2 linked regions of the Lytechinus pictus genome follow. The protein of the gene in region 1 purifies or fractionates together with the protein of each later gene. This does not show direct contact. Links are inferred from orthologs where the notes say so. Each region holds a gene or a part of one and is shown on either strand. Other genes may lie near its edges.

The links.
Region 2: the proteins of isoleucine--tRNA ligase, cytoplasmic-like (region 1) and leucine--tRNA ligase, cytoplasmic-like purify together in Homo sapiens (affinity purification with mass spectrometry; 7 studies listed by BioGRID and IntAct, counting the BioPlex papers as one, with this or other methods). This does not show direct contact. The link is inferred for Lytechinus pictus from reciprocal best matches to the Homo sapiens genes IARS1 and LARS1.

Annotation. Positions count from the first base shown.
Region 1 is NC_087247.1:36,592,556-36,600,677, forward strand, and holds the start of isoleucine--tRNA ligase, cytoplasmic-like, read right to left. Parts: upstream 3,159-8,122; 5' UTR 2,840-3,158; intron 1-2,839. UniProt on the Homo sapiens protein: Catalyzes the specific attachment of an amino acid to its cognate tRNA in a 2 step reaction: the amino acid (AA) is first activated by ATP to form AA-AMP and then transferred to the acceptor end of the tRNA.
Region 2 is NW_026974140.1:10,269,383-10,276,967, forward strand, and holds the start of leucine--tRNA ligase, cytoplasmic-like, read left to right. Parts: upstream 1-4,547; 5' UTR 4,548-4,908; exon of another isoform or gene 4,909-5,024; intron 5,025-5,411; exon of another isoform or gene 5,412-5,777; intron 5,778-7,585. UniProt on the Homo sapiens protein: Aminoacyl-tRNA synthetase that catalyzes the specific attachment of leucine to its cognate tRNA (tRNA(Leu)).

The sequences.
Region 1 (8,122 bases):
TAAAGGATATAAAAATAGAAATGTGCCATTCCCAGAAGGTAAGTGAAAATTATTTGCTTGGCTTTTAATTATATTCCAGTCAGAATAGACTGTTGCCACAGCTGTTAAAAAACATTCGTAATGGCTTCTTAATTTTCCCCTTTTCCCCATGTTTATATTAATTTTGTTTAATTCATTTTTCTTTCATTTTTTTTTTTCTCTCTAATTTTTTTTTTTCCCTGTTCTTTGTTTTTTCTTTCTTCATTTTGTTTCTTTTGTTTTATTTCACTTATTTCTTTTATTATTTTTGTTTTCTTTTTGTAATATACTTTTTGAAAATTATTTTCATTTGTTTCCCCCTTTTATGCATTGTTCTAATTTTGCAGCATATTTTTCTGTGATTTTCTCCTGCTATAATATGCTGCAAAAGAGAAAACAGAAATAAACTGGATTTGGGGCCTGCATAATCTAGGTTTCAGGATTCAAAGAGGAAGAAATGAAAAACCATTGTTTTGTACATCTATCTGAGTTTGCTATGCACTATTTATTTACTTTACCATTATGAGTGTGTCTGTGTGTGTCTATACGGAGATAAAAAAAAAGTCCACACAACCTGCGAACAATAAAATTCATTTATTCTCTTTCAATCATTTCATTTTTACAACGATAGAAACAATTAATATTTTACCACAAACCAATGAATTAGCAAAGTAAAATAACAGCAAACAAGGTTTACATACAAGATGATAAAGTGAAAGTAACTTAGTGGTAGTGGCTGCAGAATTAATATTTCAGAAGTTTGTTTTATTAATTTTTAATGTTTTTCTTTATATTTTTCGGGCCACCAATATCGGGCCACCACCAAAAAAAGTTAATGTGGAGCCTTGTTAGTTTTAGTAAGGAGTGATATTATTATATTGTATTGTTTATAAGAAATATGAAAGGATATGCTTGTACAAGTCTAATGTGAAAAGAATATATATATATATATACATAATAATGTATGATATAATATATACAAAATGATATGTTCTGCACATATAACTAACAAAGCCCACAAGTGTTTTCGCCTTGTTGTTGTTGGTGTTGTTTAAAAAAAAAAAGAAACAAATTATTTTAATGTTTAACCCATCTGTAAGCACAGGCACACTAGCGCCCCCTCGTCTATGCATGGGTGACCTAGGCATTTTTATGTCCGAAAAATCGGCACAATGTACCGTGCTGACCGGTATGATTGCATCTTAGAAAGGGCAGGGCAAGCGCAACTAGTTGGAACTGGGCTGAAGATAGCGGTTTGTTTTTGGTGAAGATTTGTTTATATGCCATTTTGACAAGAGTTAAGACAAACTTTTGTAGACCGGTATACTATATTCATCATTTTTATAATAGAAGGATGCACAAGAAAAATATTTCATATATGTATACATCATATTGGTAATAATATGAGAAGTGAGATTTTATAGATAAAGTCAATGGCGACAATAGTCAAATATGACTAATTGCCACTCAAACCAACATAAGAAGAAGAAGAAGAAGTTATATCATAACCTGTCCTTGTTCACTGAATGAGTGGGTGCATATCATATGGAGCTCTTGCCGCTAGACCAAAAGCTTCAGTCTCTGTATTTTGGTTGTTCCGCTAAACTACGTTGGCTCCACTCACCATACATAGACTGAAGGGGATGGGGCCCCGTACCTACAGCCAACGTATAGTGAACTAGCGTTTTATAGATCGCGATTTAAAACTGTTTTTTAAGCAAAATTGAAAGTTTCATGGTTTCCATTATCAGGGAAATATAAATAACTTAAGTAATTGCATACCTTGGGCCGGAGTTATTGAAAAAAATCCTCTGGATGATTGAGAAATCTGTCATCTAAGACATTTTCACCTGACCTGACGGTTTTTCTTGCAAGTTGCCATCTTGAATGACGTCATTATCGTTATTAACTTAATGTCTCGAATCGATATGTCGCGATTATAACTAGTACTAGTACTAGTATAACTAGTATCGTTTATCTTCGGTTTCGATCGCATATGGAGCAGATCGTATAATATCGAAAGCAATATCGATATCACATTCGTGATTGTTGACGTTCGTTTGTAAATATTTTATAGTTTGGCTGCCATTTTGACAATTTTTATCGTGTTCAACCCAATTAAACATCGGTAAAGTATATTTTTCATGCCTTTTTCATCTAGGCCTATATCGTTTAAAGTATTTAAATATTAAAATATTAAATTTTAAGTTTGTTGTTTATACATCCTTAGATTGTAAATTCGATGTGTAAAATTACATCAAACTTTGGACTGTGAATTGACAAAAGGGAGGGAATGAGAACACATGCGAGCCCACACGTACACCCTACCGTCGGTAAATGGGGATTACAGTAAAATGTCAGAAATTGTTGAATAAATCCCCAGAAACGACGGTTATTCCTGTCTATCTTGCCGCATGCTCTGAATAGATCAATATTGGATTATTGCTATTGTTTCCAAGAGGAAGAGAAGAATCACGTGGAAATATTCCCATCCGCCACCCTTGAGCCCTCTCCAAACTCCCCTCTCTCATTTTCCCCAATATGTTTTATACACAGTCGCGTGCCGATATGCGAAGGTTTACTTACTCAACGCTATATTGGGCGCCCTTCTTCAGGAGCATTTTTCGGGCGTTTGGGAGCGTTTCAAAAAATCGCCGAAGTGTCCGATCTTCCACTTGTAGTGTAGTATCTTTGCTTTATCCTATCAAATCATTTCAAAGCAATTTCTACTGATTACATCTTTGCAAGAAACCCCGATATTACCAATCACAATTTGTTTTTTAAATTCCATTAACCTCATATAAGGATGAAAATAACTCACCTCTTTCTCTCGAAAGCTGGTCGCTGTTCAACTCGGGTTACTCAGCTCAGCACACACGTGTGTATATATTACTATATCGTTCAGAAGTTAAGTCTGAAGTTAGAGACTATGAATTTTACAATGGACAATTATAGCTTGATGCGGTGCTTAATTTTTTTTATCCATATGCCCAGCAAATAGTTCGAACGTACAGTATCATACAGACGAAAAAATGATCAATCAATTACTAGTAACCTTTCACTCTCTTCAAATTTTCACACGGTTTCATCATCTTTCAGATACCATTATTGGTAACTTCAGTTTTGCCCTTTAAATCTATGGTAGCTTCAATGTTACAAAATACATGTATTGTGTTGTGGAATTCACGGGTTTTTATGAAATGTGAAAAACCCTGCTTGCTTCGACAAGCTAGGTTCTAATATTTTTAAGTATGACATTTGAGGGGGCGAGATATGGCCTTTCGGGCAACATCTTGAAAAAATTTTTTCTCTGACCAAATTTGCTTTTGACCGCACAGAAACATAGCCCTAACAATTCGCTAACAGAGGCCCTGTTACAACCGGCAATGTGACAGCAATGCGTAATGTTACATCAATGCATTACTCCCATTACTCACACATTGAAATAGATGTTTTTACTGCACAATCCGAAATATGGGACTGGGTTTACCGTTTACTGCTATAGTGGTCTGTTAGGCTAACAACGTTTCTGTGCAGCGTGGTGTTTCGAGCTGCTGCCAACTTTTTTTTTTTTTTTTTTTTTTTGGGAGGGGGCGGGGGCGGGGGCGGGGGGGCAATTATGCCCAAGGGTCCCCCTCCCTGTTTTAGTCAAACATACTTATCAGAAATCACTTTATTCAAATCCAGACGACCTAAAACTGAAAGTTTTTTTTTACTGAATAATATCATATGGGTATAGTATAGTTATACAACACATATTTACCTCTTGTTTCCATACTTTTCCTTCTTCCCCACCTCGAATGGGGATATTGTGAACATATAGGCCCTACTTTTTTGTTTTACTTTTATTCTTCATTTTCTCTTACCCTCATTTTTTTTTCTTCTATTACATCATCTTGAAAAGTAGCAGCTGCCCTTTGCCACTTCCCAAATCCTTATTTTGATGAAATGCATCAATTCATTTTTCTTCTTAATTCAAAGTTCTGATCTCATGCCAAGTTCCCGGGCCAAATTTTCTTGCTGGAAACTATGTAAATGCCACCACATGTTGAATCACCATTTTTGTCACTATTATACCACCCAGTTCTGTAAAAGTGTGATCCCAGCCATGGAAACGGGCCCTTTTCATGGAAATTTATTACCAAAACAGCAGAAAAGATGAACTAAGAGCAATCAACTATATAGTGGCATTATTTTCGAGAGAGTATGAGTTAAAAAACATACCTTAATTGTATTCGGATTTTTTTATATAAAACAAGTGGAATGCCTCTGGCGGTCTCACCTGCATCACGCGATTCAATATAGCAGCAGTGCCGACTTTGAAAAACACCATTTAAATAATTATTCACAAAAAACACCATTCATATAATGATACAATACAACGTTCATTGACATTGGACCTTGATCATGTGACCTAAAACTTGTCAGTGATACTTAATTGATTACCCCTATATCCACATTTTATGCACTATATCTATAAACTTTGAAAGTTATGACAGCAATCTAATAATTACCTCTAAAATGGCCGAAGTTCAATGACCTTAAATGACGTTTGGTCATGTGACCTGAAACTCGCATGAGATGTTCAGTGATACTTGAAGACTCTTATGTCCAAGTTTTATGAACTAGACCAATATACTTAGAGTTATGATGGTAATTCAATGAATACCCCCAACATGGCCAATATCCATTGACCTTTGACCTTGGTCATGTGACCTGAAACTCGCACAGGATGTTCAGTGATACTTGATTACTCTTATGTCTAAGTTTCATGAGTCAGATCCATAAACTTTCAAAGTTATGATGGTAATTCAACAGATACCCCCATTACGGCCAAAGTTCATTGACCTTTGTCATGTGACCTGAAATGCACACAGGATGTTCAGTGATACTTGATTACTATTATGTCCAAGTTTCATGAATCAGAACCATAAACTTTCAAAGTTATGATGGTAATTCAACAGATTTGGCCAAAGTTCATTGACCCTAAATGACCTTTGACCTTAGTCATGTGACGTGAAACTCATGCAGGATGTTCAGTAATACTTGATTAACCTTATGTCTAAGTTTCATGAACTAGGTCTATATATTTTCTAAGTTATGATGACATTTCAAAAACTTAACATTAGGTTAAGATTTTGATCAATGTTGATTCCCCAACATGGTGCAAGTTCATTGACCCTAAATGACCTTTGACCTTGATCATGTGACATGAAACTCAGGCAGAATGTTCAGTAATACTTGATTAACCTTATGGCCAAGTTTCATGAACCAGGTCCATATACTTTCTAAGTTATGCTGTCATTTAAAAAACTTAAGATTTGGTGTTGACGCCGCCGTCGGAAAAGCGGCGCCTATAGTCTCACTCTGCTATGCAGGTGAGACAAAAAGGGTTGTAAGTTCACATCTCTACTGGCAAAAATTACACTCTTTACTCATTGTTTGTCGTAGGCCTTCATGTATACAGTGGACCCCCCCCCCCCCCCCCCCCATCATTGGCTCAATTTGAATGTTTGTATAAGACAGATGTTACGAACATCAGGCTGGGTAAATTATGCTGCAGCATTGGCAACCTTCCAAGCATTTGACACAAGTCTCAACATTACTGCTCTTGCTATTCCATGTACAAGTCTCCTGCCGATCTAACTTCATGAAAAACCTGTTAAATGTTTATACATTGAACTCAAAACAGAATGCCAATCCTTTTTCGCAGGTCAACAATTTCAAATTAAAGATTTAAAGATGATGAGCTATATTCAAGAATGGATAAAAGCAGGTTTATTGAAAACTAGAATTGCACAATATTTTGTTATATATCGTCATCCCCGATGAATCAATGGGTGTCAAACATTGTCAAGTAACGTTCACAAACATACCATTTTTTCAGCTAAGCCTAACAGAATGGAGACGAGGAATAAAACATTGGTTATGGATGGTATTCTTTGACCCTTTCCATTTGAATCTTGTGGGTTAGATTGGATTAATACAGAGGGCAGTGGGAATAAGGGCTGTGATGTTTAGCGTTTCAAGGCAATTTCTCGTCTGAAACGGATTTTAAGTTAAAATTATTGAATGGACCCATGAACCCAATACCACAATGATTGTTCATTGATGTTTAATGGCACAATATTTCAACATTATGGTCATATTATGCCGCCCTAATGTACACTTGACATAAAGAAAGTAACCCAATTTGTTATTGATTCATTCTCATTTTCAATAAAGAGTATCCCATTTCCTGACATTGTTCTAGTTCATCACTAAACATACTAATTTTCTCATCCTTACTGTTCGTTTTCTCTCTTAAATTCATTTAATTTTCCCTCCCTCATTTATTTTACATTATAATACATTGATTGTAAACATATCACAAGAGTTAAACGTGATAAAATGATAGCACTTTTGTTATGTATGGAAAGATTTTTGCTGCACAAACACCACATACAAATAAACTGACACATCTTGATTATAATTGATATATCTATTTCTATTCATAAGTTACAGAATGAATATATCTGTTTTAATATTCACATGTATGTACAATATAACAATGCATTTGAACAATATCATCAAATAATCATCAGCCCAAAGCAAGCCAAAAAATAAGCATTGAAGGAAAGAGGAACAAAAGACTTAGAAATAACCTTCACAAAATTGAGGACAGTATTAAGTTATTACATTTAATCAAGCAAAATTCATAAAATCTAATAAACACATTGACAAACATTGTAACATGGTAAACTTAATGAAAATTTTGATAAAGTGATAAAAAATAAAACACCTGTAACATTTATGAAAATATTTATTAGAATCATCATCATCCTCCACCTCCTCTTCCTAATCTTAATCATCATAATTACACTTATAAATCAGCAATATTAGAAATGATTTCATCATGGGCTTTTTCATTCTTTACATTATATTGATGAAATAGATGAAATAAAAATGTATTATCAAAGAAACATCTCAATGGCTAAGATGAAAATAGGGCACTATTAAACACAAATTGTTAACTTCACATGTAAATGGAACAATGGGAGAAGTAATAATCTATACATGTCCTGCAGCTCAATACAATTAATTGCTTTGGGAGTATTGTTTGTAAACACAAGTAAACATGACAAAATAAAATATTAAATCTAAGTCAAGATTGAAGTGCATGATGAATATAACAAGTATGAATGAACAAAAATTAATGCAAAGCCTTACAATAAAAAAAAAAATAAATATAAGGGAGAAACTTGGGCACAGACCTCGCCCATATCCCATACAAATATACCTATAATTTAGGATTTAGATATTCAAAAGTTTCAAACTACCAGTAATTCAATTTGTACTTGTTTTGTTCCCATTTCTTTGATATTCATGTACACAAATAACCACATACTTCAAGAAAAAATAAAAATAACATGATATTTTCTTCAAATTGATATCCTTTGGAGAAAATATCATGATATACTGTACATAATATATCATGTATCCATTTCTTCTCAGTCAAGCTAGTCTCAGAAATGTGAGTTTACTGGCTTAACGTCATTATCAGATACACATACTGCAAGATATTCAATAGTGGACCACTCAGAAATATCAACAAATTAAATTACTTCGATAAACAATACTAGAACATAAACAACCATCTTATGATAAAAAAGTAAAGTTATTATCATCTAGCAATTCCAATATATCTAGTATTGCACTTGGATGCAATGGTTATGCAAATTTAAATGTAAAGCTCATTTTTTTATCATTATTACTAACATCTTCTTTTTTATGACACAGCATATTCATGAAACATCATCCCCTGGATCATTACTAACATCAAAAGCTTCATAAAATATATCTTGTTATCTTACATAGTTTTACATAAAATACAGTCCCCATAATTCATCAGAGAAGAAGTGCTTATCACCTTTCATGCTTGGCCTAAACTCAAGTTCCTTGTTATTTAAATATCTAGAAATGGCTTTAAAATGAAATAAAACGTTTGGAAAACCCACACTAAAGCAATAATAACCTTCAGAAAGTAGAACAGCAGAAACAAGTCATCGAGGAATGGAAGACTCTCTGAACATCTGGAAAAAATTTGTATCTGTTGATGTTTCTG
Region 2 (7,585 bases), on another chromosome or scaffold:
CTCATTTTCATGTTTTGATCTCACTTGCAAATTGTAATGTGTTTGCCGGGGTTCGGGGCTCATCCTGTATTACGCACTATGTAAACCTCAATTTCAATATTTCTTTTGCCTGACTTCCAAATAAGTGTGATCATTGAGTTTCTCAAAAAATACTATATCTAGGGGGGCCTATATAGTTTGTCGTAGATCTAGACATTCATCGGAATGCTTCATGTAGGTCCAAAGTAAACCTTTATTTCAGTTTTATTGTGATTAGACAATTATCAGGGGTAGATGTGGACTTGTTTCCGACCTCCTGTTTTTTAGTAACGACAAACTGTCGATTTTAGGCCTATTCAAATTTAGGTCAATGTAGGGATATGGTCAGAGCGGGATCCGGCCTTTGATATCGCCGGTGCTAGCCGGCTAGCGAGATTGTCGATGTAGTCATGGGGTATGAAAATAGCGGGGACGGACTAGGCCCAAACTTCAAGCTTGAAAGTTGAAGTTTAGGCCTAGTCCGTCCCCTCTATTTCATCTTCATATGAATAAGTATAATTCTCAGCAGTTTCTTTTATTCAGGAACGCTTTACTTCAGAATAATCAGTGTTGAAATACGATTGACTTAGCATTAATGTCTGTTATGTTAAGTGTTACTTGTCTAAGTCTTAGATTCTGGGCTCCGCCCGCGCAGCGGGCGGGAGCTCTCTGGGTTACATGATGCCATGCACTGCAATGGCAATGCCAATGTCAACGTGTTATTTTGTGAAATTACTTAAGCTTAACGAAATACTACAATCATGTAAGTTTACATACCTGTAGTAAAGACACAAATATGTTTGACACTCAAGACAAATTTCTTACCTTCAAACACAGCAACTAAACCACCTAATCCCCACTTATTTAGGAGCCTCTCCATCATCAACACCAAGCGGTCGCATGCAAGACTGCAGTAAAAATTTCGCAACTTGAGACGCGGCGGCGCGGCCGGGAAATTCGAAATCATACTCACCATACATTGAGTGATTCGACCTGAAGTAAAATAGTTCTTTGATAAAAATAATATATATCACAACGCAAATGAAGTGAAATACATGGAAAGTTTTAAAATGTTGTTTCTTTCACACTGATTAAATTTGTTTGCTATTACAACATTACAAGTATTAGCAAAATAACTATTGATTATTGAACACTGCACACAGTAATATATCCCTCCGCCGTTCAACTTGCATTGCAGTCATTGTGATGATGACTCTTTAGGCAAGTTATTTTTCCACTTCATACACCTAGTCATTTTTAACTTCCGGCGCAGTCAAAAAGCCAATAGGCAAAGTAAACAGTGAAAGGTTGACCCTATATGCAGTCAAATTTGACTACATCCAGGGTTATTTTGAAATGACCACCCAAACTAGTCAAAATTTGACTACCTATTTTTAAGTGTGTATCGCTTTTGTTGGTGTGTCTGCCACACCGTAATCTATGATACATACGGACAAAATGCATTTCGGTATCGGTAAAACACTATTAATTTTGTTTTATTTGTTTCTATTTTGTTTCTCTTGGAAAATTTACAGGAGACATTGCTTTGCAGGTTACTGCTTCAATGAAACTCTGGCACATGAATCATGACGAATGTATCCTACCTCAATCCATATTTTAACTTTATTAAAATATATATCTTTTTGGAGACCCCGAGGTGGCAAAACTGCATCCCCCTGCATTCCCGCCACTTTACAAAACCAGTTTGACTTGTATAATCGACTTGGAAAAGACATATGTATGAGACATCAGTCAACATGTTTCCTGAAGAAAGTTTTTTTTATTTATTTAAGCCTACGTCCATGGGAGCCCTCCGAATTTACCCCATCCCCTCTCCGTATTTCGACTTTAAATAAAGAAAATATCGTGTTTTAAAACCATCGGCAAGGCAAATTGCGTTTTTTGGTATAATAAAGCAACTTTTATATCTATATTTTTATATTTACATTCATCATTATTGATATTATTATAATTATTATTAATATTATTATTATTATTATTATTACTGTTATTATTATTATTATTATTATTATTGTTCTGCCATTTGTAATAGTGCTCTAGCACAGTAAAGGCTATAACCCAACAGGAGCATGCCTAGGATACCCTCTCCCTTTTTGGTTTAAGTATTCAAAAATAGTTTATTGTCTTTAGAACTCTTAAAAGATTACTTTTGTTTGTATTGATATCTTGGAATAGATTGAGGAGAAAATACTCTACAACTGACATGTAGAGGAGCTGTGGTACATTGAAGAACAGCCACACAGCCCTTTATAGATTCCACTCAATGTTAAATTTAAATAATTTTAGAGCCCGATCGGAAGAAAGATGCATTTCTACTACACAAAGTAAAGACTCTTTGCATTCTCCTCTTGAAAAAAAAAAAAAAACATAGAAGGCATTGTTTTATATCTCATAAAATAAGTTCGTGTACGTGACGGTGGCCTGTCGAAGTTGCCCAACCGTTTATTTTGTTTCAACAATATATATTTAGAATATCGTCTAAATGAAACCCTCATCTGGAAAAGGGCACTTATTAAAGGCAGCATCTACATTATATAGAGGAGGCCATGGCACTGGGAAGAGGGGGCTGAAGTTTATTAAATTTCTTCGGACCAAAATTTTACATTGAAACTATTTTGCTTTTCAAATTTACATCAAGAAATTTAACAAGCAAATAAACAAAATGGATTGCACTACAAAATGAAGTTTTTTTTTTTTGTAACGTTTCTTTTTTTCGTTTTGTCACATCTGCCGGAATTCCAGGGGGTGCTGTCTATAAAGAATAACACACGCAGCACAGCCCCCTCCCCCCCCCCCCCCCTTCAGAAAAATCTTGCGGGTGCTTCAGCCCCCGCTTCCAAGTACCAGGGCCTCCTCTATATAATGTAGATGCTGCCTTTAATATGTGCCCTTTTCCAGATGAGGGCTTCATTTAGACGATATTCTAAATATATATTGTCAAAACAAAATAAAGGGTTGGGCAACTTCGACAGGCCACCGTCATGTACACGAACTTATTTTATGCGATATAAAACAATGCCTTCTATGTTTTTTTTTCAAGAGGAGAAAGTAAAGAGGCTTTACTGTGTGTAGTAGAAATGTATCTTTCTTCCGAATGGACTCTAAAAATATTTAAATTTAACATAGAGTGGAATCAATAAAGGGGTATTTTAGAGCTTACGTGTGGCTTTTATTCAATGTACCACAGCTCTTCTACATGTCAATTGTAGAATATTTTCACCTCAATCTATTCCAAGATATGAGTTCTAAAGATAAAGACAATAAACTATTTTTGAATACATAAAACCATAAGGGGAAAGGGTATCCTAGGCATGCTCCTGTTGGGTTATAGCCTTTACTGTGCTAGAGCATTATTAAAAACTGCAAAACAACAACAATAATAATAATAATAACAATAATAATAATAATAATAATATTAATTATAATAATGATATTAATATAGATAAATATGAAATATAGATATAAAAGTTGCTTTATCATACCAAAAACGCAATTTGCCTTGCCGGTGGCTTTAAAACACGATTTTTTTATTATTTAGTGTCGAAATACAGAGAGGGGATGGGGTAAATTCGGAGAGCTCCCATGGACGTAGGCTTAAATAATAAAAAAAAAACATCCTCTGGAAACATGTTAACTGATGTCTCATACATCTGTCTTTTCCAAGTCGATAATACAAGTCAAACTGGTTTTGTAAAGTAGCGGGAATGCCGCGGGGAATGCAGTTTTGCCACTTCGGGGTCTCCAAAAGATATATATTTTAACAAAGTTAAAATATGGATTGAGGTGGGGTACATTCGTCATGATTCATGTGCCAGAGCTTCATTAAAGCAGTAACCTGCAAAGCAATGTCTCCTGTAAATTTTCCAAGAGAAACCAATTCGAAACAAATAAAACAAAATTAATAGTGTTTTACCGATACCGAAATGCATTTTGCCCGTATATACCATAGATTACGGTGTGGCAGACACACCAACAAAAGCGATACGAGAAGCCGATGGAAGCTATTGTGTTGAGATTGTGTTATCTCGAATGACATACCATTGATCGCTTTATTGTCCGATTCGTGAGTGTGACTGTGACATAGAGGTTGTTTTGGTCTCGTTTTAGCGCAATATCACGTCATACATTTTGACATATTTGCCCTCTTTCTAAGCAAATTAAGACACTAATACTGTCATGAAGCATATCGATGTTTTCGCTAATATATTCTCTTTCATGTAGAATGTTGATCTTGTGCATTAATTGCTGTTATTTACAAAACAGTTCAGGATTCATGAAAAAATACTTTGTTTTAAATTATAATTTGCATAATTTATGTAAATTAGGTAATAATAAACAAGGATATCCCAATTATTTTATGACAATTTTCTTCCCTTTCTTTCCCTAAGTCTTTATTTCAAATTTTAGGGCAGTTCTGGTTAAAAATATATTCTGAAATACTTGTTTTTACTATATCGACATAATATGCAAATTTATGCAAATTACTTGCTTATTTGCATAGATACAGCGTGTCTCTTTGGATGAATCTTTTTCTTTTGACTCAAGGAACATTTGTGCCAAGTGGGACATTTGTACTAAAAAATGCAGCGTTCACCCCTTTTTTTGCAGTTAACAAGTCTACTAGTGGGGGAAGTTACAAATTGATGCAGAGGTTCGAGGCTTCGAGCCCTGGTCACGTCTTTCGGTTCGACGGTGACGTTAAAGGTCGGTCCAGACGTAAATAATCATATCTGATTGATACACGTCTGACAAACCTCAAATACACACACGGTACGGTACGTCGGTACCCTATCTTTGAAACTAGACTCCTTAGCGCTTGCCAGTGTACTGGATATACACATGTCATTGCATCAGAATTTTCGACATTTGGTGAGTGTTTCATTGCTCAGTGATTTGTTTTATATAAGAAATAAAAATCCCAATCTGTATTGATTCATATGATTTTAGTTTTTAAATATGGTCGTCGATAATCAGTATTGGTACCGGTACGAGTATTTTTTCCAGGTTTTAGCGTCCGAATTCGCGTTCACCGGGCCGGGATCGGTCGCGCATCCATCCATCTGTTTGCACGGAGCGATAGGGTAAAAAAAGGCGGAGCTCGGGCGCGGCCCGCGTGTGAGCTGCATGCTGCTGCAGCAGAAGTTCTTGGCGCTAATGCAGTTTCGCACCGGCCGATTAATTAAAGGGGAATCCAGCCTTGGTCGTAAAATGTTGGGTTGGAAAGGAGAAAAATTAATAAAAAAACAATGGTGAAAGTTTGAAAGAAATCAGACAAGCGATAAGAAAGTTATGGCTGTATTAAAATTGAGATCCTGGGCCTGGCTTAAACTAAAGCCTTAACTTCTTAAGTCAAGACTATGTATGTCTATGCTGTACTCCCTGTGCTGTAGTCATGGTAGTAAAGTAGGTAACCCAGGGAGCTGTCAAGATTTACAAGTCTATCTCAACTGCAATATTATTTAACAAACAGACCACAGCTAACAATACATGAGCTGCTACACTAGTCAGAGTCCTACTACTAGTACTACCTAACCCAGGGAGCTCCCGCCCGCTGCGCGGGCGGGAGCCCAGGCCAGGGGCTTACCCACTCACACTAATACGAGGTTCGTATATATATACAAACCTCGTACACCGGACCGTGTTTGACCGTAGATTTTGAAGTAGTCGGCAAACATTGCTTCATTGCTGAAGTAATATTTGCCGAAACTCCTTCTCGCTACGCACCGGGGCTCTTTCCGGTAAGTAGCAATACATAACAAAATTATACATATCATATTTAACTCATTTAATTTAAAAAGAGCAAATTTCGCTTACCTCGGCCTAGCAAGTGACTTCGTTTGTCTCTTCTACGGAAATACAAGGAAGCCCGTTGGTGGCGCTAATAAATTTCACAACCTTGATTCAGCTCCTCGGTAATTTTATAACTGTGTCTAAATTCTTTGAATGCGCAATTCTTATGATTAATTTACTAATTATGGGCACCAATAAATAAAATACCTTCAAAAACATAATTCAGGATTACTATTGGCGATGATAACACTTTTGTTGCAATTAATTTAAAACGATGACTAATATAATTTTTTTTTTTTAAATACACATGCCTGGAACGAAACCAGCAGTCCAAGCAGTATTAACGAACGTCACGGTATACCAAAGTCTATACAATGAAAAGATTGGACACTTCACGGACTTCGCGTAATGCCTTGCGTCGATTTGCGTGTAAAATAGTGTAGGTTCCTAATCTTTCCCTTGTCGTGTCTTTGATATGAATATAAATCGCGCGCCCTCTTTAGGCGAAAATTGATATCTACGCTGACCAAATTTTATATCCGTGAAATCTTCACTAAAGATCAAGAAAATATACATATTTTTAAGAAAAAACTTCAAGGAGAAGTCACGGAAGGATCTAAATGATTCGGTAAGTGTCATAGCAGAATGTGAAATACCAGATTATTGGTGATATTTTATGTGGGCAAAAGCCCACTATCTTTTTGACTTGTCGTGTGTGTCGCGTGCATATGACTGATATTCCTTCGCACGCGAGATGATATGAACCCATGGGTGGGGCTTACCGTGTATTTGACCATAGTCACCGGACTAGGGTGATTTATGGTCTAAATATTTCTCCAAATGAATTGTGAAAACAGAAAGTATGCAATTACCACGATTATATGGATGAAGGTCTAACGAGTGGCAGTTTCCTGACATCTGGGCACAGACTGGAACCTCAAAAAAACGAAAAGTTCTCTCCTTCTACCCCCGTCTCGATCGGCCATTTTTGTTATGAATTGTAACAAAATGGCCGATCGAGACTGGGGTAGAAAGAGAGAACTTTTCGTTTTTTTGAGGTTCCAGTTTGTGCCCAGATGTCAGGAAACTGCCACTCGTTAGACCTTCATCCATATGATCGTGGTAAGTGCATAATTTCTGTTTTCACAATTCATTTGGAGAAATATTTAGACCATAAATCACCCTAGTCCCGTGAGTATGGTAAAATACACGGTCAGCCCTGTGCGGGCGGGAGCTCCCTGGGTTAGGTAGTAGGACTCGGAGTGTAGCAGCTCATGTATTGTTAGCTGTGGTCTGTTTGTTAAATAATATTGCAGTTGAGATAGACTTGTAAATCTTGACTGAAATTAGCGACCTAAGTCTTGGGAACGCACGAGCAGATCGTTTGGTTTGGTCGTTCAGTCCTTTTCTCCAGCGTTGAGTTGAGCGAACCACCACCATTATGACTGAGTCCTACTCACTGTTTGGTTAGTGCACTTAGACTCGATCAAAAGGTTGTGAGTTCGAATCCCAGCTCTCCACTTTAACCAGAAAGGCCCAGAGTATTTTCTGTTGCCTATAACGGTCAGCTACCGACTGATTAACTTAGTCTTAGATATAAAATGTTTCCTATTGTCAGAAGAGGTGCTGCTCTAAAAATAAGGCTCATTCCTATTTACTGTTTTAATACAGGAATTGTATTTTGTTCATAATGATTTTTCCACAGAAGTAATCTTTGTGTAGGAAAGTTCATTCACCTGTCAAGTACCAACATGTA